Caenorhabditis elegans: one gene and its partners. The protein of the gene in region 1 purifies or fractionates together with the protein of each later gene. This does not show direct contact. Each region holds a gene or a part of one and is shown in the gene's direction. Other genes may lie near its edges. The genes, in order: ech-4, dhs-6, ard-1 and K07E3.4.

The links.
Region 2: the proteins of ech-4 (region 1) and dhs-6 fractionate together in Caenorhabditis elegans (co-fractionation; one large-scale study listed by BioGRID). This does not show direct contact.
Region 3: the proteins of ech-4 (region 1) and ard-1 fractionate together in Caenorhabditis elegans (co-fractionation; one large-scale study listed by BioGRID). This does not show direct contact.
Region 4: the proteins of ech-4 (region 1) and K07E3.4 fractionate together in Caenorhabditis elegans (co-fractionation; one large-scale study listed by BioGRID). This does not show direct contact.

What each region holds. Positions count from the first base shown.
Region 1 is NC_003280.10:10,817,902-10,825,114, forward strand, and holds ech-4 (Delta(3),Delta(2)-enoyl-CoA isomerase), read left to right. Parts: upstream 1-3,129; 5' UTR 3,130-3,130; coding exon 3,131-3,183; intron 3,184-3,231; coding exon 3,232-3,838; intron 3,839-3,883; coding exon 3,884-4,381; 3' UTR 4,382-4,533; downstream 4,534-7,213. Other genes in the region: Guanine nucleotide exchange factor subunit R06F6.8, read right to left, coding at 1-280, 408-945, 1,026-1,117, 1,172-1,633, 1,684-1,794, 1,844-1,984, 2,037-2,048; R06F6.12 (uncharacterized protein), read right to left, coding at 4,560-4,934, 5,108-5,214, 5,267-5,355, 5,401-5,843, 5,889-6,066, 6,117-6,178; Mitotic chromosome and X-chromosome-associated protein mix-1, read left to right, coding at 6,483-6,576, 6,663-6,746, 6,906-7,213.
Region 2 is NC_003280.10:5,613,226-5,621,032, reverse strand, and holds dhs-6 (Hydroxysteroid dehydrogenase-like protein 2), read left to right. Parts: upstream 1-1,713; 5' UTR 1,714-1,752; coding exon 1,753-1,766; intron 1,767-1,814; coding exon 1,815-1,986; intron 1,987-2,057; coding exon 2,058-2,436; intron 2,437-2,971; coding exon 2,972-3,185; intron 3,186-3,231; coding exon 3,232-3,455; intron 3,456-3,499; coding exon 3,500-3,753; 3' UTR 3,754-3,905; downstream 3,906-7,807. Other genes in the region: eif-3.L (Eukaryotic translation initiation factor 3 subunit L), read left to right, coding at 1-299, 385-554, 604-841, 898-1,110.
Region 3 is NC_003282.8:11,126,355-11,134,744, forward strand, and holds ard-1 (3-hydroxyacyl-CoA dehydrogenase type-2), read left to right. Parts: upstream 1-4,924; 5' UTR 4,925-4,938; coding exon 4,939-4,962; intron 4,963-5,045; coding exon 5,046-5,204; intron 5,205-5,986; coding exon 5,987-6,151; intron 6,152-6,198; coding exon 6,199-6,336; intron 6,337-6,965; coding exon 6,966-7,106; intron 7,107-7,156; coding exon 7,157-7,306; 3' UTR 7,307-7,429; downstream 7,430-8,390. Other genes in the region: SWI/SNF chromatin remodeling complex core catalytic subunit swsn-4, read left to right, coding at 1-175, 223-447, 495-721, 769-1,561, 1,610-3,259, 3,304-3,810, 3,856-4,341, 4,390-4,470.
Region 4 is NC_003284.9:8,078,406-8,087,229, reverse strand, and holds K07E3.4 (formate--tetrahydrofolate ligase), read left to right. Parts: upstream 1-3,211; 5' UTR 3,212-3,326; coding exon 3,327-3,329; intron 3,330-3,827; exon of another isoform or gene 3,828-3,883; coding exon of another isoform or gene 3,884-3,886; intron 3,887-3,948; coding exon 3,949-4,047; intron 4,048-4,096; coding exon 4,097-4,553; intron 4,554-4,612; coding exon 4,613-4,866; intron 4,867-4,918; coding exon 4,919-5,867; intron 5,868-6,054; coding exon 6,055-6,215; 3' UTR 6,216-6,361; downstream 6,362-8,824. Other genes in the region: dao-3 (C-1-tetrahydrofolate synthase, cytoplasmic), read left to right, coding at 681-803, 1,093-1,266, 1,389-1,767, 2,233-2,450, 2,800-2,817; C46F2.1 (uncharacterized protein), read right to left, coding at 7,344-7,583, 7,630-7,757, 7,803-8,016.

The sequences.
Region 1 (7,213 bases):
TGACCGATTTATGCTCCAAATCCACAACCGACGCATATCGACTGTCAAGTCTCTGAGAAATTGGATAAAATGAGAGATGGGACTTGTCAGTATCCGCAGCAACTCCAACAACTCCAATGACGTCATCATTCCAAATAAAGACACCTCCAGTGACCAAGAGATTCTTCTCTTGAGTCTCATTTCCAAAAATCTTCCAACGTCGATTGGATAATGAACAATATGCCATTCCTTGATCACCGGCCACGACGAGATGTTTATAGTTTCGATCAGTTGATGCATACTGAAAACATATTAAATTTTAACATTTTATTTTAATAAACTCTATCGGAAAATACCTACGTGCCTACATGCCTACCTCATGGTTTTACCAAATTTATGCTTTTAGTTTTTACTTTTAAAAAACTCACTCTCAGTGGCCAATTAGATGATAGATATTCATGTGTAACTGTAATATGATCCCATACAGAATGCGGTGCACAAGCTTCTGCTTCTCGATCCCTTGCAGCACTGATCAAAACCTGCGAGTCACTCATCAATACAGCTCTATCACAATGTTCCATTGCCGGGCTTGAACATGAAGCACTCCTCACGAATGGTTGCATCATAAGCTCATTTTCAGTTCCAAGCCACAGTTGGAAACCTTCTGGACCCCATTCAATAGCCGTGTATCTATCATTTTGATCTTCTTCGACGACACCTTCCAGATTGCAAAATGATTGAGCTCCGAATGAAGTGAAAACTGCGACGAGCCGAGGAAGAGCATGAGCTCCGGATAGTGGAGACCAAATTGCACCGAATCCGTATCCATTCGCGAGGGCTGTTATTCGGTGAACCGGACCCAGTCGATTCGTCAAGTCAGGACCATTTGTTACTTTTGGAGCAACTCGGAACGATTGAACGAGTGAGCCATTTAGTTCATCGATGTTATAGGCACAAACGTCGCCGCTGGAAATAGTTTAGATTAAAAAGAAAACTGTGCGTTTGATTTTTGAAAATTAAAATCTGAAAAATCTGAAAAAACTCACTTTTTACATCCAAAAAGAATCAGAAGGAACTTGTGATTCACATCGCAACACGTGGCATCTTTCATATTCGGAGCCCACACTCCCAGAATTGCCTGGAATAATAAAAAATGGGTTTTTTTTTTAATTTTTCATGATAAAAATCTCACATTAGGTGCAAAATTCGGATCATTCGACGTCAATAGAGCACCTTGACCATCGGAAAGTACAATCGCAAATCCTCCGAGAAGTGGAGCATACACGGCGTCAAAGATATACGTGGATTTTGAAGTAATATTTTCAGATTTCGACTGAAGTTGATCCACGGAGAACGGAATTGAACTGGCACGGAATGAGAGGCTTGCAATAATCTCTCCAGTCCAAGTGACATGATGAGTGAATCCATTTTGAAGGCAAACAAGAAATTCATCACGAGAAGGAACACAACATGTTGGTATATCAGCCAGATTTATGATTATTGTTGGATGAAGATGAGCTGTCGGTCGAGATCCTTTTATAAAAAGTTCCGGTGAGTTTCGTTGGAAATATGGATCCGCAGAGTCTGTGAAATTGTAGCATTGTTCATCGTCTCGCAAATCTAGATTATAGATTAAAATTTTGCATTGATTTGTCTGAAAAATATAATATTTTCAAAGAAAGAACTGTAAAATTTAAATATTACCGTTACAGCTATACTTGTTGAGTCAGGTTTCCAGTAAATTTCTTTTAATTCTCCACGTGTTTCTTTGAAATTGGCATCGATAACCCCGACGGAGCACAGGAGCAGTTGGGGCTGAATTTATGTTTTTTTAATCAGATTTTTATTAGTTTTCAGCACTAACATTTGCCAGCCAAATGTAAATCGCATCATTTGTTGCGACTGCTATCAATCTTCGATCTCGATTTGCCACAATTGACTTGATATCGGCGGCAGTCGAATCCTTTTCATGCTTCGGAAGCTGGAGAACCGATGGCCTGTCATTCTGGAATTTTCAAAAATTATTTTTTATTAAAAAAATTCTAAAGGAAACTTACAGGTATGAACATTCTATGCCAGATCCATCAAATGTTGTATTCTGTTGAAAAATATTAATTATTCGGGGGAAAACGGTTTTTTGCGATTAAAAGCTCAGTAATAAAGAAGCGCGTTCAATTTTTAGCAGATTCAATTCGACATCTTGATTTAAAAATTAGGAGATTGATTTTATTTTGTATTTGGAACGCAAAAACGTTTCAAACAGAATAAAAAGGCCTCCAGCTGTGAATATTTTTCAAGAGCAATCGCGCTCGGTTGCCACGCGTTAGAGGGCAGAGACGCAGACTTTTCAAAAATTTCAGGCGTTCAGGATTGCGTGGATGAAAATGATTTCACTCGAAAAATAACAAATTCATATTTAAATAATAAAATTAACACCAAAAAAAAAAGAATTAACAAAAAAAAACAACAAAACAATTGAATCAGAGTACTGTAGACAAAGTATTGTGCATTTTGTAGTTGCCGTGAACAAGGGTGTCAATTCCCGTGTCCCGTTTGTCCCGTTGTCCCGTTTTTGGGGTGTTTTCACGGGAACGGGAATTCTGTTGTCCCGTTTTTAAAATTTTCACGGGAACGAGAATTCCCGTTGTCCCGTTTTTGTAATTTTTACAGGACACTGACACCCTTGGCCGTGAACGTCCTTTGTCTGCAAATTTTATTGATTTTATTTATCAGTTTTCTGATTTCTCCTAGGAGGGGATTTCTCCTAGGACTCCTAGGGATTATAATTTGATTTTCACTGTTTTTTCTAATATTAAAATCTTAATTTCCAGGTTATCTATACAATTTGAGCTCTCTTTTAAAAAAATTGAAACTCCAAATTTTCCTGAATCTATTATTTATCCCATTTATAATTGCTCCACTATTGTCTTGCGTATAGTAGCGATTGTCCAGCTACACATTACAATGTGTATTCTTGTGTGTAGCCAGTTCATTCAAAACAACAAAAAGACGGCGGCCGTTCTTATCATTTACCCGGCCCCTCCGTGTACCTTGTTCTTTTCTTCACGTTGTCCATTTTCTTTCTTTTTTTCTCTTTTCCCCGAAAAAATTAATTATAACGTTTAAAAAATCAATTTTAATTCATTTCAGAATGCTTCGAAATCTCACCCTCGCCGCTAGAAGTGTTCTCTACAATCCGCAAGTGTAAGTCTGCAAAAATCATCTAATTTGTGAATAAATCTTCAATTTCAGTTCCGTTCGCTCGTTCTCTGCCCAGGCTGACTTCGAGAAGGCGCAGAAAAATCTGAAAACTCTGAAGGAAGAGCCGGACAATGACGTGAAACTGCAGCTCTACGGGCTTTTCAAACAAGCCACCGCTGGGGATGTGCAAGGAAAACGCCCGGGAATGATGGATTTCGTTGGAAGAGCCAAGTATGATGCCTGGAATACTTTGAAGGGACAAACTCAGGATGAAGCTCGCGCCAACTATGCTAAACTGGTCGGTGGACTCATTTCCGAAGAAGCTTCTGCTGCTCCAGAACCAACTGGGCCATCAATCGAAGGACTTGAGAACGTTGACGGTTTAAGTGTGACTCGCGAGGGAAAAGTGTTCAAAATCGCATTGAATAGACCAAAGAAGTTCAACGCATTGACATTGGAAATGTATCAAGGAATTCAAAAGGCACTGGAGGTCTCCAACAATGACAAGAGCACCTCAATCACTGTGATTACTGCCAATGGATCATATTACTGCGCTGGAAACGATTTGACTAATTTTAAAGCTGCTGCTGGAGGTACTAAAGAGCAAATTGCGGATATGGCTAATACAGCTAAAGTTATTATGAAGGATTATGTCAATGTTAGTTTAAAAATATATATTTCAATAATAAATTCAAATTTTCAGGCCTATATTAACCACGAGAAGCCTTTGATTGCTCTGATCAATGGCCCAGCCGTAGGAATTGCTGTGACCGTGCTCGGAATGTTCGACTACGTAATTGCAACCGATAAGGCCTCATTCCACACTCCATTTGCCCCACTTGGACAATCACCTGAAGGAGTTTCGAGCTACACGTTCCCACTGATCATGGGATCTTTGAGAGCTTCTGAGATGCTGTTGGTCTGTAAGAAAATCTCAGCCCAAACTGCAAAGGATTACGGGCTTGTGAATGAAGTTGTGCCAGACGCTGAATTCCAGTCACATGCTCAAAAAACTGTGGAAGCGTTCTCCCAACTTCCGCCAGAAACTCTTCGTATCAATAAGAAATTGCTCCGTTCTCTGCACAAGGAGAAGCTTCTGGAGGTCAACAATATCGAGGCCGACCAGATTTGCGAGCGTTGGCAATCCAAGGAGTGTCACCAAGCGATTGCAGCATTTATGACAAAAGGAGCAAAGAAGTAATTGTTTTGTGCCCTCTTAAGTTTTACCTTTTTTGTAGATTTTTTATGTATCTAAAAAGAATTATGTGTATTTGATTGAACATGTGCAAAAACAAAATTAAATGATTAATTTACAACAATAGAATTTTAGCAACATATAAATAAATGAATCCATAAATTTCGAGTAAAAATGAAGAATATCAACTGCTTTGCTCATCAAGAACTATAATCTTCTCACGAGTACATGAATCACAAGCTGGTAGCCGAATAACAATGTACGATGGCTCCTTCTGGTAGACCTTCTTATCACAAATCGGGCAACAAAAGTTCGGAGTATGTACTAGATGTGGTCCGTCGACGACAGGAGCCAACTGATACGACTTTTTCAGAACTGGAGGGCACAGATCATCGTTGGCTGATCGCTTTTGAGCAGCATTTCGAACTGAAGCCATATCCGTCCTCCGGAGCAAGACGGGCGGAGCAACTTGTTGATACTCGTGATCACTTCGGTCTCGCTGGGGTACGAGCATCTGGTCGATGGTGGCGTACGCGAATTCTCCATTCATTAATTGGATCTGAAATTTCAAAGCTTTAAAAAATATACTTTATAGAAGTTTTATGAGCATTTTTCTTCGTTTTTTCTAGAAAAGCTCTGTTTTGATCCAAAAGTTGAAAATAATTACATTTTATCGGATCAAAACAGAGCTTATCTTGCCTAATTAAACAGAAAAAGTAAAGAGTTTCTCACCTTGTACTCCGAATCGCCTCGAACATATTTGACAACCGCATCTTGAAGACGACCATCAGCTGTCCGAATTTGAACGGTTTCTCCAATTATTGGGCTTCTTGTAGATTCTAAAATAATTTGGATAATTAAAATTAGTTCAAATAAGCTTCTGAAACTCACTTCCAGCTTCCAACTGTTCATGATGATGATGGTGATAACTTGTTGATGGAGCCTGATCGTTGTATGCAGAATCTTGAGCTTTTTCTTTTCTAAAAATAATAAAAATATAGTTAAAATTCTACGTGTTGACCTACATGGGCGGTAGAGCAAGTTGCACAAGTTGATGGACATTTTCAGTGCTTAAATTGTTTAAATCAATGTTCAAATTGGCGATTTCGGAGGGGGAAACATAGAATTGCTTCTGTTTTGATGTAATATTGACTCCACCATCATTTGTCAGAATAATATGCATTGCATTATCGATTATCTGACCATTCCCATCATATTCTTCCTCCGGCCCATTTCCATCACCTTCAAATTGATTTTCAATCATTTCGTGATGAACCATGTGATGATGTGAACCATCTTCTATGACAACTTCTTCATTGTGCTCTTGCTCGTTTTGTTTCGCCTGTCGTTGTTGACTAATCGCCACCACAATGTTCAGCTGCTCTTCGGTGAGATGATTAAGCTCAAAGCCTGCTTCTACATCGAAACCCGCTTCGTACATGTCTTCCTGCGTGATTTGAACCATATTCTGAAATATAAATATTCTTTCAATTCATCGAAAAGCTTGAAATACCATAAACTGTTGATCACCATCCTCCACAATCATATCTCCTTGTTCAAGATCTTCCGGCTGCTGCTGCTGCTGCTCAACAATTTCTTCTTCATGCTTAGCACTTTCAACTCGAAGTGGGGCCTGATCCTCGTGGAAAATATGATCTTCATCGGCAGGATATACACCTTCTGGGGAGGATCTGGAAATTCCATTTATTAATTTGAAAGAAAATGTGATTTTTATTCTTACCCAGGAATTTCTTCTTCACGGCCTGTTGTTGGGCTAGCAGGATTTTCTTTTTCGGAATCCATATCTGCAACGATTTTCGTTGTTTAATAAAAATTAAAAAATAAAAATTAATAAATGACTCTAAATTATAGCGAAGGAGAAAAAACAAAGGAGAAAAAAATTACAAAAATCACAAGGCAACTTTTGCGCGTCAAATCTCATACATTCCAGTCCGCAAACACTCTCACGCCACTCTGCACACTTCTCAAAAGACGCGCCAAAAAACATTCAAAGCTCATTCGGCTTTCGAAATAAACATTTTCTCAAACTCGTTATCGACTTATAACTTATTTTTGTTCAAAATCAATTCGACAGGGTGCGCTCATAATGCACATTAAATCCATCCATCTGGATGGCTTTAAATCGTACCAAAAGCACACCGATATTCTCGATTTTTCGCCGACTTTCAACGCAATCACCGGTGAGTATAGTTTTGTGCTGAAAACTAATAGTTTGAAAAACTTTAATTTCAGCATAAAATATAGTATAATAATTGTTTTATTTCAGGATACAATGGTAGTGGAAAATCCAATATTCTCGATTCGATCTGCTTCATTATGGGAATCAATAAGCTCGATAATATCAGAGCAAGTATGTGGCTCTTTCTCATCACAAAATTATTTTGTTGTCATAGTGATACTTACGCGCTTTCGGACTGAAAAAGCACAAGATCAGAGTAGCATAATATTTCTAGCAAAGATTTTTTAAATTGAAATTTAGAAAAAAAAATTAAGTCAAATATCATTCCAGAATCAATGCACGAGCTGATTTCCCATGGTGGAACAAAAGCGATCGTCCAAGTTCGCTTCGACAACACTGATAAAAGATGCTCCCCGTTCGGAATGGAACATCTCGACGAGATCGTCGTTCAGAGAATCATCACAGCTCAAGCAACTGGAAAAGGATGTGCAACGAGTTACACACTGAATGGGCATGCGGCCACAAATGGAAAAATGCAAGATTTCTTCCGTGGCGTCGGTTTGAACGTGAATAATCCACATTTTCTCATCATGCAAGGTCGTATTACTACGGTGCTAAACATGAAGCCGGAGGAAATC
Region 2 (7,807 bases), 5.2 Mb from region 1:
ATCTCTACTTCAAGCTTGGATATTTCGCTCTCATCGGACTTCTCCGCACTCACGTTCTTCTAGGAGACTATCATCAGGCTTTGAAAACCGTGCAATACGTGGATATTGATCCAAAAGGAATCTACAATACAGTTCCAACTTGCCTTGTTACTCTCCATTACTTTGTTGGATTTTCTCATTTGATGATGAGAAATTACGGAGAAGCTACAAAGATGTTCGTCAATTGTCTGCTTTATATTCAAAGAACAAAGAGTGTTCAAAATCAGCAGCCATCGAAAAAGAACTTCCAATATGATGTTGTGAGTACTTTCTAAATTTTTTGCACAATATTTGCACAATAATTGAATATCTAATGAAGACCCAATAATATTCTGCCGATTTCAGATTGGAAAGACGTGGGATCAGCTTTTCCATCTTCTTGCAATCTGCCTCGCCATCCAGCCACAAAGAATCGATGAAAGCATTGCTTCTCAGCTTTCGGAGCGATGTGGTGAGCGTATGATGCACATGGCGAACGGGAATATCGATGAATTCAGAAATGCTTTTGCTACTGGGTAGGAAACGAAATTAGTCAAGTAATTGTATAGTATTGTATTGTTGCAGATGTCCAAAGTTCTTGTCTCCAACCACAGTTGTCTATGAGGGAGTCAACCAATCGAAAGAACCACTTCTTCGTCAAACTCAATCTTTCCTGGAAGGTATTGAATCACAGATGGCGTTACCAGTTCTTCGTGGATACCTGAAACTTTACACAACACTTCCAACTAAGAAGCTTGCGTCGTTCATGGATGTTGATGATGAGCACTATGATTCGTTCATTGGAAAGCTTCTCACTTACAAGGTATATATAAGAATTTCCGATGATCTCGAGTGTTGATGTAATATTTTGAATTTCAGATGATCGTCAATGAGCTTGGCAAAGAAGCCGGACCATCATCAGCAGACGACGATGAGCCACAAACAGATATTGACTTTTACGTAGACCGTGATATGATCAATATTGCCGATACCAAAGTTGCTCGTCACGTCGGTGAACATTTCATTCGACATATTCAGAAGTTGCAAGAGGTTCAGGATGTGCTCAAACGACTCGATATCCAGAAACCATGATCCTTAAAAAGTATTTGAGCTAAACGAAACATGACTGGTTGATTTCCGGTTAATTTCGTTTAGTTTCACACCAACTCCCACTCGTTTGTTAACATTATATCTCTTGTTGAAAATTAAAAACATCTCTCCGTTTATTTATACCACTTTCTCCTGTTGTTGTCTTTTCGTTTTGGTCCTAAACTTCCTTTTTTTCTCTTATCTCCCAATTATTTTGTATCCATGGTTCATAATAAGTTTAGTAAATTTTTTTGGTTTTTCTTATGAAGTTAATTTATGATTGTTTATATTCTACGCTCATCGCAACTACTTCTCAATTTTTTCCGAATAATTATTAATCTCTCTTACGAGTAGTCTTGTATGTACAGTGATAGACTGTACTTTGACCTATAGGTCCATGGTTTTCACCTAGAACGTAGTCTTATGTGTATTCTCCCACTAGTTATGCCTGCGTCTCCAGTCTCGAGGGAAGATAAGTAGAACAGGAGGACAACAACAATCTTTTCCATTGATCCCGATTTTTTTTCCCGTTTGTTTTCAAAATTAAAAAAAATTATTGTTTCTCTTCTTGGCTCGCCGAATTAATTCTAAATTTCGGAGTTTCAGATTCTACAGTAATCCTTTGAAGACAGTGTCAATAATAAAATGTTCAACACTGGGTGAGTTATATAAATAACTTCCCGTATAATAAAGTTCTGATTCTACAGAAAATTTGTCGGGCGAACAGTTCTGATTACTGGCGCTTCTCGAGGAATTGGAAAGGAAATCGCACTGAAATTGGCAAAAGATGGTGCAAATATTGTGGTGGCAGCAAAGACAGCCACAGCTCATCCAAAACTTCCTGGAACCATTTACTCTGCTGCTGAAGAGATTGAGAAGGTAATATAGAAAATTGCTGGATATAAATAATTTTAAGGAAGTTTTTTTAAACAAAAAACAATTATTTCTAGGCCGGAGGAAAAGCCCTTCCATGCATCGTCGATGTTCGAGATGAAGCTTCTGTGAAAGCATCAGTTGAAGAAGCTGTAAAAAAGTTCGGAGGAATTGATATCCTTATCAACAATGCTTCAGCAATTTCACTTACCGACACAGAAAATACTGAAATGAAGCGCTACGACTTGATGCACTCGATCAATACACGTGGAACATTCCTCATGACAAAAACTTGTTTGCCATATCTGAAATCTGGAAAGAATCCGCACGTTCTGAACATTTCACCTCCACTTTTGATGGAGACTCGCTGGTTTGCTAATCATGTTGCCTATACAATGGCCAAGTATGGAATGTCGATGTGTGTTCTCGGGCAGCATGAAGAATTCAGACCACATGGTAATATATTTGAAAAAATATTCGATTTTTGAAAATCTCGAAATATTTTTAAAAAATACGTACAGTGAGTACTGTAGCTCCTAACTATCCGAAGTGTTAGGGGCTACAGTCGTTTTTCGGTTTTTTTTTGAAAATCGAAAAATTTAATAATATAGTTCTCTTTCGATGTTTCAAAAATCAGCTTAATATTTTGGCCATTATCCCTCTTTTTAGAAGAAATTTCTATGTTTTTTCTCATCATTATAAGCAAAATTAGATAAAAAATTTTATAATCAATTTTCTGAACATTTTTTCGATTTTTAGATTTTCCATAGAATCGAAAAATCGAAAACTTTCGATTTTTCGATTTTCACTGAAACACATCGAAAAATCGAAAAAGTCGAAAAATGCCACCATTGGATACAGTACCCCGTAAAGGTGCACATACTTTTGTACGTACCGAGTACCATATTTTTGTGTAAGAAATTTCAGTATATCGAACATTTATAATAGTAAAATATTAATTTTCATCGTTATTTTAATTTCCATAATTCAGGTATTGCTGTGAACGCTCTATGGCCACTGACCGCAATTTGGACTGCTGCAATGGAAATGCTTTCTGACAAAGGAGGAGAAGCTGGAAGCCGTAAACCATCAATTATGGCTGATGCAGCATATGCAGTTCTATCCAAAAACTCCAAGGATTTTACTGGAAATTTCTGCATTGATGAAGATATTCTGAAAGCTGAAGGAGTTACTGATTTTGATAGGTAATTGCTCATTTTCTGGATAATTGGAATTTATTAATTTTTCCAGATATGCATGTGTGCCAGATGCTCCATTGATGCCCGATTTCTTTATTCCTGCAGGAACTTACGATCACAAGTTCTCATCTGGAGCACAGATCGGAAAAAAGAATAAGACTCACGAAGCCGGAGTTGTTGAAGAAGAGATCAAACAGATATTCACATCTGCAAAGCGCCTGCTTAATGCTGATATTGTAAAGAAAACTGGATTCGTGTATGAATTCTTGTTAAAAGGTCAATTCCGTTTGAAATCTATAGTTCTATATGAATTTCTTTAGACCCAACTACAAAAAGCGAGAGAATCATTACTTTGGACTTGAAAAACGGAGAAGGAGCACTGACAGATAAGAAGGCTTCAGGCAAAGCTGATGTTAAATTCACACTTGCTCCAGAACATTTCGCTCCACTCTTCACTGGAAAACTCCGTCCGACGACTGCTCTGATGACAAAGAAGCTCCAAATCTCCGGTGATATGCCAGGAGCAATGAAATTGGAGAGCCTTCTCCGCAAGTTCACCGAAGGAAAACTGTGAATAACTGATGCATTTTGTAGAATAAATTGAAAACTTTGGAGTATTTTTTTATTTTTGAATTGGTTTTTTTGTATATTTCTTGTAAACATGATAATTTTATTTGTAAATTAATTTTTAGATATGATCTTTTGAATGAATTTTCAAAGTTTGAACCGTAATTCTAGTATGATGTGAGCCGAGATACTTAGTTGGTGATATTACCCAGACGCGACTTTTGCAATTTTTGCGCCAAAAATACGCAGCCCAGTCTCGACACGTTATTTTTCTGTACAAAACGAGTGGGCCTTTAAAGAGATATGTAATTTCAAACTAATTTAAAGAAAACTTTTCATATTTGTCGATTAAAAATGTAAAAACAAATTTTAACATTTTTAAGTACTTTTTGAAGGAACACACCTTTTCGCATTTAACAAACACGTGCCGTGTTGAAACCGGGCACCGTATTTTTTTAAAATTCGACATTTAGTAATTCTGAATTAACTAAAGATAAAAGTTTCATAAGATGAAACACATAAAATCAATTTACTTTAATCAGTGACAATCTCGTTTCCCGTATCCAATACAAGATTTTATTGTAACTGTAATATAATGAATTACAGTCAATAGACTCTGATCGTTCAACTGTCAAAAAATGTCATCAATATTCGTTCACTCTATCTGATTTCTTGTTTTCTGCGCGTACTATCACCTCATTTATCATCATTTATGTTATTTATTCTTTTCCTCCAACTGTTTTCTATTTTATTTAATAATCGACCTCACTTCCTTTTTTTCAGAATTCTAAAAAAGGTTTCTTCCATCTACAAAGTTCTGACGTGAAAGAGCCCAGAAAATCACTCTGGAGCAAGGGAATTGGATACACATGGGAACTTAATATAAATGAACTTAGACAAACTTAGGAATATACGTCACAAAGTGAAAGAATATCACGTCGAGGTGGCCGCCCGTCTACATAATTCGGTTTCACAGAGTTATTGTGTCAAAAAATAAACTTTATTATGTGAAGCTATGTAAAACAAAAAATAGCCGACAGAAAGTTTTAAAAAATCCTACAGGAACTCGGAAGTATTAAGTTTTGAAAATCCATCAGTTTAGACAAAAGTTAAATTTTCAGAATCCCCATTTTTACACTTTTCCACGTCAAAATGTAATTCTCCTGATGATCCTTCAAACTTTTTTCTAGTCGTACTAGTGCAGGTGTCTAAAATAGTGATGTTGTTGTCTAGAGTTCCAATACGGCAAGATGTAGTCGTAACATCTGAATTTATATTCCGTTATTTTTGAAATTTGTGGTAAGACAGGTGAATCTAAAAAAGGTAGATTGGAGTTTATTTTTGGTTTTTTCCTGTTCCAGAATAAATTAGACTATGTGGTAAGCTTCTATTTTTATACTAAACATTTAAAAAATTTTAGTATTATTATGCTGAACATTGCGATTTTGGCCTCAAAAAATAGGTGCCTGATAATAGGTGTCGACACGACTACTTTTTTTGGACTTAAAAGTGTGTGCGCCTTTAATGAGTACTGTAGCGTATAACTTTGTTTTTGCGGAATCTGCTTTGCTTTTGAATGGCTTTTTTTCGTTTTCCCTAAATTTTGAGGAGATAAGAGTAAAACTCTCAAAAAATCGAAAAAAAAATCTCAAATTTTAAGATCGAGGAGCACAGTACTCGCAGTACTCCTTAAAGGCGCAAACATTTTCGCATTTGAAAAATCGGCCGCGTCGAGACCGGGTACCGTATTTTTGCGGCAAAAGGTTCACAATTTTGAGCATTGATAATGTTGTAGTTTTGCAATTTTTGTTCTTACTGCATTTCTTTTTGCATTTCTTCTTTTTCGCTTAACTGAGCTTTAAGCTTAACTTCCTGTTCCCAAAAAATTAGATAATTATTCCTTACATTGAAAACATCGGTAACAATTGTCTATAAACTCAAAAAAAGTTATCAAAAACAAGAAATTCCCAGTGGCACGAGTAGGAGCAAAACTCAATGGCCATGTGACCAACTTGTGGGAAAACTTGAACATTGTTGTAGTAGTGATATTGTAATATTCTCAACTAGAAAAATATATCATACGACTACTATTTTGATTTCATGGGAATATACTACACATCGTATAGTTTTTGTTTTTTCGATTTTCTGTATTCTAATCACTTCCAAATTTTTATGAAAAAACAACAACAATTTCTTTTCTGAAATTCAAAGCATACCTTTTTGTTACTTTTTTTTCGAAACTTTTCTCCATTCGGAATTATTTTCTTCGTTTTCTCAAGCAAAATTCAATTTAATTAAGTTGTTTACCGAGTTGTAATATCATATTTCCTGATTTGACATTTTATCGAACATTGTGTTGTGGACTAACGCCCAACTAATTGGTAAGTTACTGGATTTTTATTTGCTTCACGGGCCGCCGGACAAAGCAATCGGCAAATTAAAAAAAAAAACTTGCCATGTTTCTAGTTAAATAAGTTTTTATATTACCTAGAAAAATTAGAAAGTTAATCAAAAGTATGAATATTGAAAAAATGAATTCAAGGTTGACGACATGATTCTTGGAGAGCGAAAATGCTATGCTAACTAAGAATTTTTTTTTGAATCTTAGGTTACTGTAGTTTTAGACATGGTGGGAGTTTGTACGTCTAAAATTTAGTCATAATCATACTACCGTCCTACAGTCTTTATTAGGAAGACGCTTAACAAGATATTAAATAGACCCACTTTCAATGCAATCTTAATGCTCTTCCAAGAGGTCTCGCCTACAAATATTACCAAATTTTACTAACAAACTCATTGCTAAAATTTACGGTATTGCGTCCCCAATGTTAGGTCAAAAAACCCTTCCCAAAGAAGTAATTGTCCATTTGATTGACACTTCCCATTTCACTCTTTTTCCAGAATTCTGACGTAACATCTTGAAAACGTGAAAACCAATGAATATTCTAGTTACGCCTGCTGCCGCGTTTAGAACATTTTGCCATTGTTACTCGTTTTCTCAGTTAGTCAGTAAAACAACTTTCTTTTTAAATGGTCATACATCCAGAAGGACACTAATTGCATCGTTTCGTTCATTTTCTCTCATTTTTCTTCCCAACTTTCCCCTGTCTGCCTTGACCATTTCATAAACTTTCAAAGTGACAACAGTCACAATTGTGCCATTTGTATTTCATTCCTTTATTCCTGTTTCCTCATTAGTTCTGCGTCTCTTAATCCCTTTAAATCTGCAAGAAGAGAAAAATTCTGTAACTACGAAATAGTGCATGAGAACATGAGACGGGGAGAAAAATCACGATTACTTCGAGATGCCATTGGCAGAGAAGATGCATAGATTCCCTGACATCAAGCTGAATGGGCGGAGCGTGTAGGGCCATACAAGTGGTATAAAATGTATCCGGTTTGAGGGATGAATCTCATCTCTCAACTTTCAACTTTAATTACATTTTCACTTTTCATTTGTTTCTTGTTTTCGATTTCTTATCAATGAGGGATTGATAAGGATTTATGACTTTTGAGAGTGATGCTTTTACTTTTTTTAGATTTCAATTTTAATTTATAAATGCCTATAGGCTAATGTCTGCAGAGAAGATTATGAAAAATTAAGATACAAATTAATAAGCCAATTACAGTAATAAGCATATCACAAAATTAGCTTGAAACGCTTCTATTTATGTACATTAAAAAAGGAGAATTACTCACTATCAGAATAACTTCTCCTTGCAAAAAATTAATTAACTGATTCGAACCTGTAAAAATGCTGGCAATTTTTCAAAAAGCTCAAAACTTGAAAAAAATTTGAGTGCGGATCGTCTTTTAATCCTCGTTTTATATAATAGGTTATAATAGGTGTGTTTTGGCAAAATCTTCACTTGCACTACTCCACCCTAAATTAAAAGGAAACATTAAAAAAACAATAACTTAAAGGTTCATCTTTAAAGTTTTCAATTTAGTGAAACATGCAAACAATGTAATTTGTCACTTTATATCAAATCACCTGAATCTTGTATTTTATCTGAAAAACCATCTAATTAATCTCATTCCTTTCTATTAAACTTTCATCT
Region 3 (8,390 bases), on another chromosome or scaffold:
ACTGAGGGCTCAAGTGTCAGCCTATCGTCTTTTGGCTCGAAATGAACAAGTACCGGCCAACTTGATTGCGGATGCTGTCATGCTCCGACCAAAAGTTACAACTTTGTTGCCTGAACCTTATGAATATCCAGGAGAGGCAGAGAATGGAGAAAAGTTGCCGTATGATTTGATGAAGGTAGGTAAAATGGATCGAATGAAACTATACAGTCTACTTTTTTACAGATTTTCAATCTCCATCAAATACGCTGTAATCGTCCAACAACAATTTCTGTTCCATCAGGAATTGATCCTGTTGGCATGCTCAAGCAAAGAGAAAATATGATTCAAAACAGAATCGGGCTACGCATGAAGCTACTCAATAACTTACCCGCCGACATTCCAGATCACATGAAATTGAAAGCAGAAATCGAATTGCGTGCTTTACGTCTTGTCAATCTCCAAACTCAGGTAATTTCTGGATTCGAAGAGTATTTTAACCAATAAGCTGTTTTTAGGTGCGCAGTGAAGTGATGGCTTGTCTCAAAAGAGACACAACTCTCGAAACTGCACTCAATCCATATGCGTATCGACGCACAAAGCGGCAATCTTTACGCGAAGCTCGTGTTACCGAAAAGCTTGAGAAGCAACAAAAGATGGAGCAAGAAAGAAAGAGAAGGCAGAAGCATACTGATTTGATGCAAGCTATCATTCAGCATGGAAAGGAATTCAAGGAGTATCATAGGTGAGATTGTATTTAGAAAGTTCTCCTACTAATTAAATTATTTTCAGAAACAATCTTCTGAAAATGGCAAAGTCTCGCAAGGCAGTCATGACATATCATCAAAACAATGAACGTGAACGCAAGAAGGACGAGATTCGAAATGAAAAACTTCGTATGCAAAAACTGATGCAAGAAGATGAAGAAGGATATCGTGCTCTTCTTGATGAGAAGAAAGATCAACGTCTTGTGTATCTTCTTCAACAAACCGATGAGTACGTCGACTCTCTGTGCTCACTTGTTCGTCAACATCAAAATACCGAAAAGAAAAAGAAGAAGGAAGATAAGAAAATTGAAAAAGGAAATCAAATGGATGAGGAAGCCAGGGTTCACGTTCGGGAGAGAAGCACTGGAAAAGCGCTTACTGGAGATCAAGCTCCAAAGACTGAAGAAATTGAGTTTTGGCTTGAAACTCATCCAGAATATGAGATAGTTCCACGTGATCAGCTTAGTGATGACGAAGAAGAGGAAGAGGAAGAGGCTCCAGTGGAACCAGAAGAAGAGAAGGATGATCAGTACGCTGGAATGGATGAAGAGACAAAAGCTAAGATGATCCTCGAGAAGGCACGTAACGAAGAGGATGAATATGATCAGAAAACGAAAAAGCAAATGGCTGATTACTATGCAACTGCTCACAAAATCAAAGAAAAGGTTGTCAAGCAACACACAACGATGGGTGGTGGTGATCCGAATCTTCTGCTGAAACCGTATCAGATTAAGGGATTGGAATGGATGGTCTCCTTATACAACAACAATCTGAACGGTATCCTCGCCGACGAAATGGGTCTAGGAAAAACTATTCAGGTAGGAATTTGGGAAATGAGGAAATATTAATCAATTTTTAATTTTCAGACAATCTCGTTGGTGACGTATTTGATGGAAGTCAAACAAAACAATGGACCATATCTTGTCATCGTACCGCTCTCCACGTTGTCCAATTGGCAGAACGAATTTGCTAAATGGGCTCCATCTGTAACCACTATCATCTATAAAGGAACTAAAGATGCTCGTCGTCGTGTTGAAGGACAAATCAGAAAAGGAGCGTTCAACGTTTTGATGACAACATATGAATATGTGATCAAAGAGAAAGCACTGCTTGGTAAAATCCGTTGGAAGTATATGATAATCGACGAAGGACATCGTTTGAAGAATCACAATTGTAAATTGACATTGATGTTGAACGGATTCTTCCATGCTCAGCATCGTTTACTTCTTACTGGTACTCCACTTCAGAACAAACTTCCTGAGCTATGGGCTCTGCTGAACTTCTTACTTCCATCGATCTTCTCATCTTGTGGAACTTTCGAACAATGGTTCAATGCTCCATTTGCGACTACAGGAGAGAAAGTAGAACTGAATCAAGAAGAGACGATGCTCATCATCAGAAGACTGCACAAGGTTCTTCGTCCATTCTTGCTGAGACGTCTCAAAAAGGAAGTAGAATCACAGCTTCCTGACAAGACCGAGTATGTCATCAAGTGTGACCAGTCTGCTTTGCAAAAGGTTATTTATCGTCATATGCAGAAAGGATTGCTTCTCGACGCTAAAATGTCATCTGGAGCACGTTCGTTGATGAACACTGTCGTGCATCTTCGCAAGCTTTGCAATCACCCGTTCCTTTTCCCTAATATTGAAGATTCCTGCCGTGCATACTGGAAGGTCAACGAAGTCAATGGAACCGATCTAATGCGTGTTGCTGGAAAGTTGGAACTTCTCGATCGTATTCTACCGAAACTAAAGGCAACAGGTCATCGAATTCTGATGTTCTTCCAGATGACGTCTATGATGAACATTTTCGAAGACTTTTTGAATTTCCGAAGATACACGTACCTCCGTTTAGACGGTTCAACTAAACCAGACGAGCGTGGAGATCTGCTGACACAGTTTAATGCTCCTAACAGTGATTTGTTCCTTTTCATGCTTTCTACAAGAGCTGGAGGTCTTGGACTCAATTTGCAAACTGCTGATACTGTTATTATCTTTGATTCGGATTGGAATCCTCATCAGGATATGCAGGCTCAAGATCGTGCACATCGTATCGGACAAAAGAAAGAAGTTCGAGTTCTTCGTCTCATCACAGCTAACTCTGTTGAAGAGAAAATTCTTGCCGCTGCTCGCTACAAGTTGAATGTCGACGAGAAAGTTATTCAAGCAGGAAAGTTCGATCAACGTTCAACTGGAGCTGAAAGAAAGCAAATGCTCGAACAAATTATTCAAGCAGACGGAGAAGAGGAAGAAGAAGAGGAAGTTCCAGATGATGAAACTGTGAATCAGATGGTTGCTCGCTCAGAGGAAGAATTTAATATCTTCCAATCGATGGATATTGATCGTCGTCGTGAAGAAGCTAATCAACTTCACCGTAAACCCCGTCTTCTAGAAGAACATGAAATTCCAGACGATATTCTCAAATTGTCATTCGATTATGAGGAAATGGAACGAGCCAGAGAGGAAGGTCGTGAAGTTGTTGATCAAACTCCTAATCAGAGAAGACGCAGAAGAGAGGTAAGGAATATATAAGAGAATTTACAATATTAATTCATTTTCAGGTCGACTACTCTTCCGATCTTTTGTCCGATGAACAGTTCATGAAACAAGTTGAGGAAGTTGAGGATGAAAATAATCAAGCTGTGGCTGAACGTAAAAAGCAAAGAAAACGTAAAATGGCTGGATTGGACGAGAATGATGATTCTATGGATGACGTTGTTCTACAACACAAGAAGAAGAAGACGGATCCAGAATTGGCAGAAAAAATCAATGAAATGCTTGATGTTATTCTAGAATATAAAAATGAGGATGGAGAACTCATCGCGGATGTATTCCAGACACTTCCAACTCGTAAAGAACTGCCGGACTATTATCAAGTGATTTCCAAACCAATGGATTTCGATCGAATCAACAAAAAGATCGAAACAGGACGTTATACGGTTATGGAAGAATTGAATGATGATATGAATTTGCTTGTGAACAATGCTCAAACATACAACGAAGAAGGCAGTGAGATTTATGTTAGCTCTGAAACAATCGGAAAATTGTGGAAGGAACAATACGATAAGGTATGATTGATTTTTGAAATTTCGAAGTTTACATTACTTTTTCAGTTTATGAATCCACCGAAGCCAGTAGAAGAACCAGTCAAGAAGAAAGAACCTTCAACCCCATCAACTTCATCTTCTCGTCCCTCAACCAGTGGCACTCCAAGTGTGTCAGATCTTCAGCGGACACAACAGGCAACTGCTCAGCAAATGTTAATGCTTATGACACATATGCAATCACTTCCACCCGCACAGGCTCAGCAGTTTCAACAGGCATTGATGACACAGACCGGTGGAAATCAAGCCCTAATGCTTCAATATATGCAGTCGGCTATGCTAGCTCAACGTGCACAAGCTTCAACTAAAGTAACCCCCAAAAAGGACGAGAAAAAAGAAACTTCGTCTTCTGTAAAGACCGAGGAAGCTAAGAAAGATGATGAACCATCAACATCGTCTGCAAGTGCACCACCACCGAAAAAGAAGAAGGAATCGGAAGATAGTGAAGACCCAATGGAAGAAGATGAAGAAGAGGAGATCATTGGACAAAAGAAGGTTACTTGAACTTTTTTAATGTCTTTAAGTCTAATATTTAATTTCCAGGAACCAGCATCAAGCCGTCGAAAGTCTCGTCCAACTCGCCGCTTCTCGAACGAGGATGAGGAAGAAGAAGACGACGAGTGATCAAAACTAGTCTGCTCCAAATATTTTCATGTCCCCATAAACATTTATTCTCTGTTTGTGTATTCTTCATGTTCTATGATTTCTGATTTTTTGAGCTGTCACCATAAATATGTCCCACCTCGTTCCCCCATTCTTATCTCTCCTGCTTCACAGTTATCTCTCATCGCTTTTTTACTGTTTATCTCTACTTCTCTTTTCTGTCGCAAGCTACACGTTTGCAGGAAAAAATCCCTGAAACAAAAGCATTAAGCATTGTATTTAACCCATATTCCACTTTTAATCCATACTATTCGTCAACTATTTTAAAGAAAAATTTAATTTTATAAACATTTCGAGAGAAATATGCTTTTGTTATCAAGAATTATTTTCGAATTTCGTTGCGATTTCTTTTATTAAATACTTTCCGTCTTAGTTCGAGATTTTGAATGTTTAATCAAACACACTTATGATTTAGGTAAACGGGAACAAATGTCGGCACTCAGAAGCACTAAGGTGAGTTTAAGAGCTTGAAAAGGTTGAATACTTGCTCCAAAATTGAAAGTGTTATCTGAAAACCCTACGTTCTATCTTCTCAGGGTCTCGTTGCTCTCGTCACTGGCGGAGCGTCTGGACTGGGAAAGGGTGCTGCCGAAGTTTTGGCAAAGGCTGGTGCACAGGTCGCTATTCTTGATCTTCCACAGTCAAAAGGAGCCGATGTTGCGAAGGAGATCGGAGGAATCTTTACACCAGCTTCGGTAACAATGATTTCATGCTACATTTGTAAAGAGAAACTTCAAGTAAAATATTACCCAGACGCCAATTTTGCGATCTCTGTCTCGACACGCCCTTTTTTGTAAAATAGAAACGAGTGTGTGCCTTTAAAGAGTACTGTTATTTCAAAATTTCGTTAGTACTGAATTTTCATGAAATTCTCATCGTTTTTTAAATTAAGAATTAAAAATTGAAAGCACATCAATTTTATTCAACAAATCATGATAAAAAACTACGAAAAGTCGATAAAAATTCCACAGCATTTTCAATTTTAAGAGTACTGTAAAATTACAGTACTTTTTAAAGGCGCACATACATTAGTATTTTACAAAGTTTTACGCTTCAAATATTACGATAACACAAAATTCTGAGAATGCGTATTTTGCAACATATTTGACGCGCAAAATATCTTGTAGCGAAAACTACAGTAATTGTTTAAATGACTACTGTAGCTCTTGTGCCGATTTACGGGATCGATTTTCGAAATGAATTTATTCTCGAATAGTGACAGTGATATTAGATTTTCCTTCATTTTTTCTTAAATTAAATAATTAAATTGATTTTAACTAATTTGGAAAAAAACCAACCCTGAAATTGATACAAGAGCTACAGTAGTCATTTAAAGAACTACTGTAGTTTTCGCTACAAGATATTTTGCGCGTCAAATATGTGGTTCTATACGCATTCTCCGAATTTAGTGCTCCCGTAATAACATAATTTATTATTGTATTTTCTCATTAAAAAACAAACGTTTCATAAATTTCAGGTAACATCCGAAGAAGAAGTGAGAGCAGCTTTTGCCAAAGTTCAAGCTGAATATGGTCGCCTCGATGCTCTTGTGAATTGTGCCGGAATTGCGTATGCTTTCAAGCTCTACTCTGTTCAAAAGAAGAAACACGTTGATTTTGAGAAGATCCGTCAGACCATTGATGTCAGTTACTGTCATTTCAACCACCAAAATAACTTAAAACAATTTAGGTTAATGTTTTGGGAACATTCAATGTTATCCGACACGGAGTTGCTTTAATGGGAGAACACGAGAAAGATGCCAATGGACAACGAGGAGTTGTAATTAATACCGCTTCGGTTGCAGCTTTTGATGGACAAACTGGACAGGTAAATATAAATATTTCGAGGCACAAAATTTTGAGGTTTTTGTATTATATGAAAGTTACAGTACCCGGTCTCGACACGACAATTTTGTTAAATACAAACGGCTATGCGCCTTTAAAGAATTCAAACTTTTGTCGTTGAAGAATTTTTATCATGTCTTCATTTTTTTGTTAAAAATATATTTGTTACTGTAAAAACTAAAATAAAACTAAAATAACAAATTGTGAGTGAAACTATAAAAATCGATGAAAGCTCTGCAGCAAAGAAAGTTTGAAATTAAAATACCGTTTGTGTTTTACAAAAAAAAGTGGCGAGACCGGGTACCGTATTTTTTGGCGAAAAATTTCTAATTTATGACTTTTATTCGAATTAAAATTCTAAAATTTTGCCAACATTTTTCAAAATCAGCATATCATCAATTCGCAAAAACTTGAAACTAGATGCTAAGCATTTTATTGTGAATCCTGGATTCTTCTGTACAGTTCTGAATTTAAAATTTCATAAACTTAATTTTCTGCACCAAATGAACAAAACTGTGAACCTTGGCACATATAACACATGTAACAGGCCAAATTTTTGAAAATATACAATGCCAATTTAACAAATTTAAATAAGTTAAAAAATTTTTGCAGTCTGCCTATTCTGCTTCTAAGGGCGCTATTGTTGGTATGACTCTTCCATTGGCTCGTGATTTTGCTGGCGATGGTATCCGATTCAACACTATTGCTCCAGGACTTATGGATACTCCACTTCTCTCTTCACTTCCAGAAAAGGTGAGGGCTGAAAAGGACGTTCCTATTCATTAAACAAGTTTAATTTTCAGGTTAAATCCTTCCTGGCCCAACTCATCCCAAATCCATCGAGACTTGGACACCCACACGAGTACGGAGCTCTTGTGCAGCACATCATTGAAAATCAGTATTTGAACGGAGAAACTATTCGATTTGACGGAGCACTCCGCATGCCGGCTTAATTTAATATCTCTTCATTCCGATTGTTTTTTAAGTACAGAGTTTTAGATCATTTTTTTGTTTGTTTTTCAAGATTTCGAAATTTGATAATTTTGCGCATATTTCTAATGAAACAGTGATTTTAATATATCATGAAATTTTGAAACAGTAAAAACAAAGCAACTTAGAAACCGAGCTCAACAGAAATCAGAAGGTAACATTAGTTTATAACAACTTAAACAACAAATGGTCGGCAAATACTGTTGTACTAAATACTTGATCTTTTACTTCGTATCTATTTTGCTATACAGTAGACATTCTTACTACCACGGCAGGGATTATATCATTTACTACTGATATTTTACTACGAATTAAAAATTAATTTCTATATTTAGTATATTCTAGATATGAAAAAATGTATGAATATTAAAAAAAAACATAGGTCCCAATTGTAGTTTGTTCTCTAGTAGTTCTTGTAAATTTCAGTTGTTTTCTTTTGATACTGAGTTGGAGATTTGTAGAGTAAATTGAATTACACTTCCACACAATACAGTTCACATATAGAAATGGCGGCCGCGAAACTCAAAAGAAGGAACAGACAATGCCCCCTACAAAAGTTACCGTAACCTGAGATTTTATTCTCGCGCTTATGAATTCCTCTTATGACAATTTTTCAACTTTTCCATCTCTCCTTGTACTCTGGGATCTATATTCATAATTTCTATGATTTCTTGCTCCTGCTCTTGGACCTTCTCACTGTTTGTAGAAACTAGACATTTAGAACTGTTTCATCGTGAAACTTTCATCAATTTAGTTCTTCGAGGCTTTGATTTTCCGAATTGCGAGGGGAACCTAAAACTAAAATAGGTTTATAGATCCATTCAGTTTGATTTTCCTTTTATGTCTTGTTGGTTGCCAACTCTTTTTATCTCCACTATCTACTTTATCAATTCAAAAAAGAATTGGTTAAGATTCACTTTTTACAGCGTGACATTGATGGCTTACATAGATAAATGCTAGATTAAAAATATCTATTCATTTTTTGATTATTGTTTATTTTTCTTCATCGAGCTGAAGGTTGCCCTCGTAAAAATCAGGTATTTTATT
Region 4 (8,824 bases), on another chromosome or scaffold:
CAAATTGCTGGGTAAAAAGAGATTTTGCGTCGTATGGATGCCGATAAGATTTCTGTGTTATGCGCGCGCATTGCATGCAAGGCCAGCCGCCGACTGTTATCGATTTTCATGGTCCGCCGCCACGCGTTCGTATTGGACATTTCTGCACTGTGTCCATTATTTTGATATATTGTTAACATATAAGGCAGCAAAAACTTTCAAAAGTATTATTTTCATGTGACAAAAATTGAATTTTGTTCCTTGATACACTGTTTTCATTTTCAAGCAAACATGTTTAATGCGGAAGCTTTGACATCGAAACTGTCGGTGGAACATGTATTTTCCATGAGAATGTCGCTGACAAGCAACTCTAGTCACTCGACACATAAAATCATAGCGATCTTCAGCATAAGATAACAAGGCCAGGCCGTTTTAAAACTCTTCTCATCACTCCCCCACAAACAACAGACCGCTATGCATATTCAACTTTTTCGACGCTTTATTTTTTCACTCTGTCCCCCACCATCGAAATGTGAATATGTGCTAAGTTTCCAATCAGCTTGTCCTCTGACTTCTGCACTAGTCTCTTCCCATGAATAGCCAAGTACAAGAGGAGTTTCGTACTCTTTTCCTTTACTCTTCCCCTTCTTGTTTTCTTGACGTATTTTTCAACTTGATTATTACTTTGTTTATTTTTTAGAATGGTCGCGGAGATCGTCAGTGGACTCGAGTACTCAAAAAAGGTTCTTCACGATGTCGGACAGAAAATCGCAAAAACCCGTGAGCACCACCCAAATTTTCATGCAGTATTGGCAATTGTTCAGGTATGAAAGCTTACCACTGATAATAATTTTATTTCAAGCATTGCTATTAACTTAATAATATTTCTAAATTGAATATATGAAAATGAAAATCTCTGTCCAATCTGTGTTTTGAGTTCATGACGTACATAAGTGCATTGCATACTTACAAAACAGATTTTGAAAGTTTTGCAGAGCGTAATTTGTAGTTGTGGTGTACTTTTGAGATACCGGCTTTTATTTCGTAACAAGACAAATAATATCCGAGGGGATATCTGTTATACTGAATAACTCAAAGTCTCAAAATTTGCAGGTTGGAAATCGTTCAGACTCCAATGTGTACATTAATTCCAAACTGAAAAAAGCAAAGGAAATCGGAGCAGATGGAAAACTCATTAAGTTGCCAGACACCATCACTCAAGGAGATTTGAAGCGAGAGATTATGGCTCTTAATCATGACAACGAGATTGACGGAATTATCATTCAGGTTAATATAACGGATTAAGTTGTAATATTGAAATGTTAACTTATAACGGAAAAAAAACACATCTCAGTTAATTAAAAAAAAACATCGGAAGCTAAACAATAATAGCAAGTTATTAATTTCAGCTTCCACTGGACTGCAAGCACGAAATCGACGCAGACTCTGTTATCGACTTGATTGACCCATTGAAAGATGTCGATGGACTGACTCGTATCAATGCTGGACGTTTGGCTCGTGGAGAACTCCAGCGTACGATCTTTCCTTGCACTCCGTTTGGATGCTTGTACTTGGTTCAACAGGCAACTGGTGATGCCAACTTTGTGTCTGGAAAGGAGGTGGTTGTTTTGGGACGCTCGAAAATTGTCGGATCTCCAGCCGCTGCGCTTTTCTTGTGGCATCATGGAACTGTGACAATCTGCCACTCAAAAACTCCAAATCTCAAGGAGAAATGCCTGAGAGCAGATATTTTGATTGTGGCAATTGGGAGAAAACATTTCGTCAAAGGTAGATTATCAATAAACCTAAATTTGAGATAGTGCACAGTACTGGCCATACAGATATCAAAAGATTGATTTCAACTTCAGCAAACGTGGTTATTCCGAGCTGAGATCTGACTATAGTAAAATAGTGAAAGTTTTTATATCCTGATTTTTTGGAATTCATCATTGAACAAATTTCGCGTTGCTTTTTTCATAATTACGCCCAAATCCATTTAAAAGAAGAATCTTGGCAAAAGTTATTACGAGTAGACCTTTATATGAGCAGCACGGTATTTACTTGCTAACCTAAAAGTTTGTAAGTCATTAAATTATGCAAAATATCTATAATAGAAACCCCAATTTAAGAACTATCAATGTTTAGTATGCACCTGACTGTTTGCAACTTCTGAATTGTTTTGCATCAAATAGAAACAGACTCTCTGTTCTGATAAGTGTCAGCGTTTTTTACAAATAAAAGCATATATTTCAGCTGATTGGATCAAGCCTGGCGCATTCGTCATCGACTGTGGAATCAACGTTGGTGACGACCCAAACTCACGCAAAATTTACGGAGATGTTGACACAGAAGCCGCAAAGGAAGTCGCCGGATTCCTCACACCTGTCCCCGGAGGCGTTGGACCAATGACTGTTGCCATGCTCATCCGTAACACATTTGAGCAGGCTAAGAGACGACGTCTTGGACAAAAGGTAAAATAGCTTTCCTTTTGCGACACTAAGTTTGTGCAGGTTTTTTGATGTTCTGGCCTAAGCGTGGATAGTGCCAAACAGTTTGTTTTGCGTGTGGGGTTGATACTGATGCACCAGAGTTTATTTCAAAAATTACAAAAGACACCGATAGCACGTTATCGACTCAAAGAACTTCAAAAATTCATTGAGCGATAAACTCTACGAAACAAGCAAATTTCATGGACATTGTCTTCATTATTTACACCGAATGTAAAGTTGTTCTGCAACTATAGTGTGCCTCACACAAAATCGATTGAAAATATGTTAAAAATATTTGTAAGTGTTGTATTTCACAGAACCTACTTTTCAGGATGACGATGATGAGTGAACTTCAAGCACCCACTTCCACCACATCATTTGCGAATGAACTATTTATAATGTGCTTTTTGGTTTGACTTTTTACTCTTTAAAATTTGTTGTGACGTTCTGGAACTTGAAGTCCTCTTCATACCTTTTTTTAATCTAATCTTTTCAATTTGTATTTTCTTTTTATTGTCACTTTCCACCGAAATAAACAATGACCAAGGACACAATTAGCCCTGATTTGTAAAAAGACCATGGTCTCGCGATAAATGCACGTGGTTAGTTTAGATGTTTAGATGCACGAGAGCGACGCAACATCGAACAAATCAGAGGACGCGATCAATAAGGCAGACCCGGCAAATGCCCCCCGTGCATGTTTTCTGTGCGTCTCCTAATATCTGATACTGACTCGATTACTTGTTCTGCCCACTGCCTTATCAAGGTGTTTGTATTTAGTGGCCATCGCTCTGCAGTTGTTTGAATCACTCGCTTTTTATTTTCGTTGATTCATTGGTTTCTCTTGAATTGTGAAACATGGTAAGTAACACTAACGTTTTGGGATTTGATTTTTAAACGGAAAATGCAATTTTGAAAACTCCAAAAATAACAAAAATAATTTGTTCATGTTTTGAGCGTGAGCAAAAAAAACAGAACTTGTGTATAATAACTCCACACTGTAAAAATACATTTTCAAAAAAAAAAAGAGTCTGAAGATAAAAAAAAGAGTATTATCTGTTAAATTAATATGTACATAGAAATTAATCTTGAAAAAGCGTCTTTTTTGTTTATGTTGACTAATAAAAACTTAATATGTCCCAGTTTGATATGTTGTCATACATTTCTGGAAAACCTAAAATATGTTACTTTCTTCTGATAAACCTGTCCGTGCGTTTTATCGTTTTTTAAAGTCAAGTTGCGAATTGCAACATTATCACTATTGTCAATCTATTTTATTGATTGATAAGAATCAAAATATAAAAAAATAAGAATTTTTGATCGAAGTTCCCATAAACATTTAAGTCACAATTTCTATCTTTTCATCAACTTCAATTTTCAATTTTTCACGCTGCTTGCGCCGCAAATTTGACCGAATGGTAATTCGATTAAATGTTCCAAATCAAACATTATAATTTCGTTGAATTATTTTTTATTTCAGAGCACATGGAATGTTGAATACTTGAAGCCCACCCTGTTAACTCCTGTTCCATCGGATATTGCTATTTCGAGAGCTCAACCACCAAAGGACATCGAAAAGGCACTCAAGAATATTTAATTTAAAAAAAACTTATCTTCATTATTTTCAGGTAGCTGGGGAAATTGGAATCAAACAAGAAGAGCTTGACCTTTATGGACGCAAGAAGGCAAAGGTTTCTCTTGACATTTTGGATAGACTGAGCGAGGTTAAAAATGGAAAGTACGTTGTAGTTGCTGGTATTACGCCAACACCTCTTGGAGAAGGAAAATCCACAACGACAATCGGACTAGTTCAAGCTCTCGGAGCTCATCTTCACAAAAAGGTGTTCGCATGTGTACGCCAGCCATCGCAAGGACCAACGTTTGGAATTAAAGGAGGAGCTGCTGGAGGAGGATACTCTCAGGTTATTCCGATGGAGGAGTTCAATCTTCATTTGACAGGAGATATCCATGCAATTACTGCAGCCAATAATCTTCTTGCTGCTGCAATCGATGCTAGAATGTTCCATGAGTCAACCCAAGCAACTGATGCACTATTCAACAGATTGGCACCAAAGAACAAGAAGGGTTTGTTTGAAGTCCCTTTTTATGGCATAGAAATAAATACATTAATACTTACTTTTCAGGAGTCCGCCCACTTTCGGAGATCCAACTTCGTCGCCTCGACCGTCTTGGAATCCCACGTGTAGATGATGCTGAAAATCTTAGCGAAGAGCAGAGAGTTAGCTTTGCTCGTCTCAACATAGATCCTGCAACTATCACCTGGAACCGTGTGATGGATACGAACGATAGATTCTTAAGAAAGATTGAAATTGGAATGGGACCGAATGAGAAGGGACACACCCGAACTACTCAGTTTGATATTACTGTTGCTAGTGAGGTTAGTCAAAACAATTTCATGGCAATTTTAATTTATTAATTCTTATTTGTAGCTCATGGCGATTCTTGCGTTGACAACTTCTCTCGCTGATATGCAAGAAAGAATTGCACGAATTGTGATCGGATCCGACAAGGCTGGCAATCCAGTAACCGCTGATGATATTGGAGTAACTGGGGCTTTGACAGTTCTTATGCGAGACACCGTTCGCCCAAACCTGATGCAAACTTTGGAGGGTACTCCGGTTTTTGTCCATGCCGGACCCTTCGCTAATATTGCACATGGACAAAGCAGTATTCTTGCTGACAAGGTTGCTTTGAAACTTGCCGGACCCGACGGATTTGTGATCACTGAAGCTGGATTCGGAGCCGATATCGGAATGGAGAAGTTCTTCAACATCAAGTGCCGTTACTCGGGACTTCAGCCATCAGCAGTTGTCCTTGTAGCAACTGTAAGAGCTCTTAAGATGCATGGAGGTGGTCCATCTGTTGTAGCAGGAGCTCCACTGAAACACGAATACCTTGACGAAAACATTCCACTTGTTGAAGGAGGATGCGATTCAAATCTTAGAAAGCAGATTGAGAATGCAAACAAATTTGGAATCCCTGTTGTTGTCTGCGTGAACAAGTTCGCAACCGATACCGACAAGGAGTTGGAACTTGTTTGCTCCAAGGCCAAGGAATACGGAGCATTTGATGCAGTGGTTTCCGAACACTGGTCACAAGGAGGCGCTGGTGCGGTTGCTCTCGCCAATTCTCTGGTCAATGCTACAACTGGACATCCAAAGCAATTCAAATTCCTTTACAACCTGGATTTGTCATTGGAAGACAAGATCGCTACTATCGCCAAAGAAATCTATGGTGCTGATGGCATTGAACTATCTGACGAGGCCAAACAGAAATTGGAAAGATACACAAGACAGGGATTCTCGAAGTTGCCAATTTGTATGGCAAAAACTCATTTGTCCCTTTCATCAGACCCAACAAAGAAGGGTGCTCCAACTGGTAAGAAATCAAATTATTAGATACCGGTCAATTATAAACACTCTGTTGATGTTTTAATGTTTATAGTTTAGGTACTAAAAGTTCAACATTATGATTGGTTAATGAAACTCGATATTGACTATGCATAAACAATTTCCTACCAAACTATTCAAACAACTATTTTCAAATCAAGATAGAGTTTTTGTAGGTTTCACACTTCCGATTCGCGACGTGCGTGCATCCGTTGGAGCTGGATTCATTTACCCATTGGTTGGTGAAATGACCACAATGCCAGGACTCAACACTCGTCCGTGCTTCTACGACATCACCATTGACCCAGTCACTGAGATCATTGATGGGCTATTCTAAACAATGCTTTCATACTTCTTTCTACAGATTATTTGTGATATGCGTAACATTGTGATTTTATATAAGAATTTAATACTGAAATTGTAAATAAAAAGAGTATATAAGAGCATATTTTTTGAAGACCAATAAAATTGAATTAAAAAAAATATTTCTGTCTGCCAGGACATATTTGCCGAAAACCTGTTATTTCAGAAAAAACCCGGTTTTTCCTGTTGTCACGTCATCATATGATCATAGCAGTTGATTGGCTATGAAATTGAAATTTGCTGGATTCAATTACTTTTTCATCAGCTCAACACAATATCTGTGTATCATAACTATGATACATTTTTCCAAAAATTGGTTATTCAGTATTTCTACTTAAAAACGGGATATAATAGTTTGGGTAGTAATGCTTTTTTTTTAATAATTTTTTTTGCAGTTTGTATCAAGACCATGCATATTATTTTTGACATGGAAATTGCATTGTTGTTTTTATATCTTCCTATCAAAAAAGACAATGCAAAACTTTTTTACAGATACTTATTTGTTGAAAATCGTAGCAAGTAAGTTAGCTCGAAAATATTTGAAAAAGGGGATTTAGTATTGAAAAACTTAGATTTTTAGTTTTTCTGGCAATTTCCTTTGACATTTTTTAAAAGCTTTTAATTGAGATGTCTGTTGCTTCATTGAAGATTAAAAAAACAAGTATAAAATCTTCTAATGCACTTTTACTTTTTCTTCCTTCGTGTAGCCTGACATGTTTGTTTCTTTAAATGCTGAAATTTATGATTCTGAAAAAAATTATTTGTTGAAATCATTTCATACAAAGTGGCACAGCAGGAGTAAAAATAAGAATAAAAATAAAGTACATGAAATAATAGCTGAAAAGTTTTTGGCAAGAAACAGTTGTAGCAATGCTACAGGATTTAATAGGGGAAATGGGAAGTGGTAGACTGACAGAACAATTGTCAAACAAGTATAAATCATTTTTGGAATTGTGAATGAAGCAAAGAAATTGAACATTTAAGATATACCAGATGAAATGTATTATTTGGGTTTCTCATAATATGACATCCTCCTTTATACAATTAAAGTGTTATTATTGGCTTATTGCAGTTACAAGAGTTTGAACAAGTTTTTCTTGGCTTAATCGGAATAAATTAATTTGTTGATTGGCCAGAAATCAAGAAAACTAGTCCATGTGCAATCTTTTTTGTGTGGTAATGAAAGAAGGTTGAGCGATTTGAATGTGAGCTTTTGTGATTCATGGTGCATAGTTGAATGATTTGAGTGATGTTTGTGATGAGTTGTGTGTTTCTTAGTATTGATGTGTGGTACCACTTTTTTAAATGTCCCTGGGTATTCTGTGATTGCATAGCAGGATCTCTAAAAAGCATGTTTCTTTTTGTCTATTTCAAACTGCAAAACATACACCCAAGGGAAAACAACCATAGTAACTTATGGTTATCGTAAACATGATAAGTCCATTTATTTCGTTGAACTTTTTGCGGTAGACAACGAAATCTTTACCTCTGACAACAACAGGATACTTCTCCTTTGCTGAAAAAAAAAACAAAATTATACAAATTTAAAATATAGACTCACTTTCAACGTCAACTGCTGTGACACTACGAATTTCAAGTTCCTTTGTGAATTGGCTGTCATCAACATTTATCTCATCGCCAAATTCCGTCAAACTTTGACAAGACAGTTCTCCCATGAAAATAGCATTATCCGATAGCATTTGACCATATCCCCAATGACTCGGTGAACTTCGTCTTTGTGCTCGGATTTCTCTGAATGCACGATTGCGTGACCTCTGAAAAATATATTATAGAAATCATTATAACAATTGATTGTATTCATCCACTCATGAATAACTGATAAAAACGTCAAGTACTGTATACGTTTTCACTCACCAGCTCCGTCTACTATAAAAACTGATAAAAAGCTAAAAGGACATAGCACGCCGTCTCTGATGTGTTTTACTCATGAACTACTCAATCATACACGTTCACAAATTAACGAGGAAGGATGATCAACAAGGTTGTAAATTGTGGAGAACGTCTTGTGAACTGAACTATAATTACTTGCTCGACCAAACTTGTTTATGATAATGAAATAATGTCTATTGGCCATGTACAATAAGTAGTATAGAAATTAAGATTTAATATTTGACCAATGTATTGGAAAAGATTTCATATGATTCCAATTGAATTTTTTCAAAACAGTCGCAAAATTTCATGGGTATAAACTTTTTGTGATATTTTAAATTGATTTTAAAGAAACTCAATCAAATTAAATTGCTCAGTTTATACCATTATGCACTGATTTCTAACTCGAAAAACTTCAAAATGGACTTTTTTAAAATATCAGATCACTATTTACTGCTGATGTTCAAATGCCCGTTCAAAGAGTGCATGATAGTTGCGGCGAAACAGCTTATCAAAAATTTTGGTAAGTTGACCGCCCGTTTCCACCGGCTTATCACCATAATTGGATTGACACATTAATTAAGAACAGTAGTTTCGAGAATAATCATTTAGGGTTTTTGGTTTTTTGTACGTATTTTCTTCTAAAAGTTGAGAGTGGGACCATTATCAATTGCATACAGAGACAATTACTCG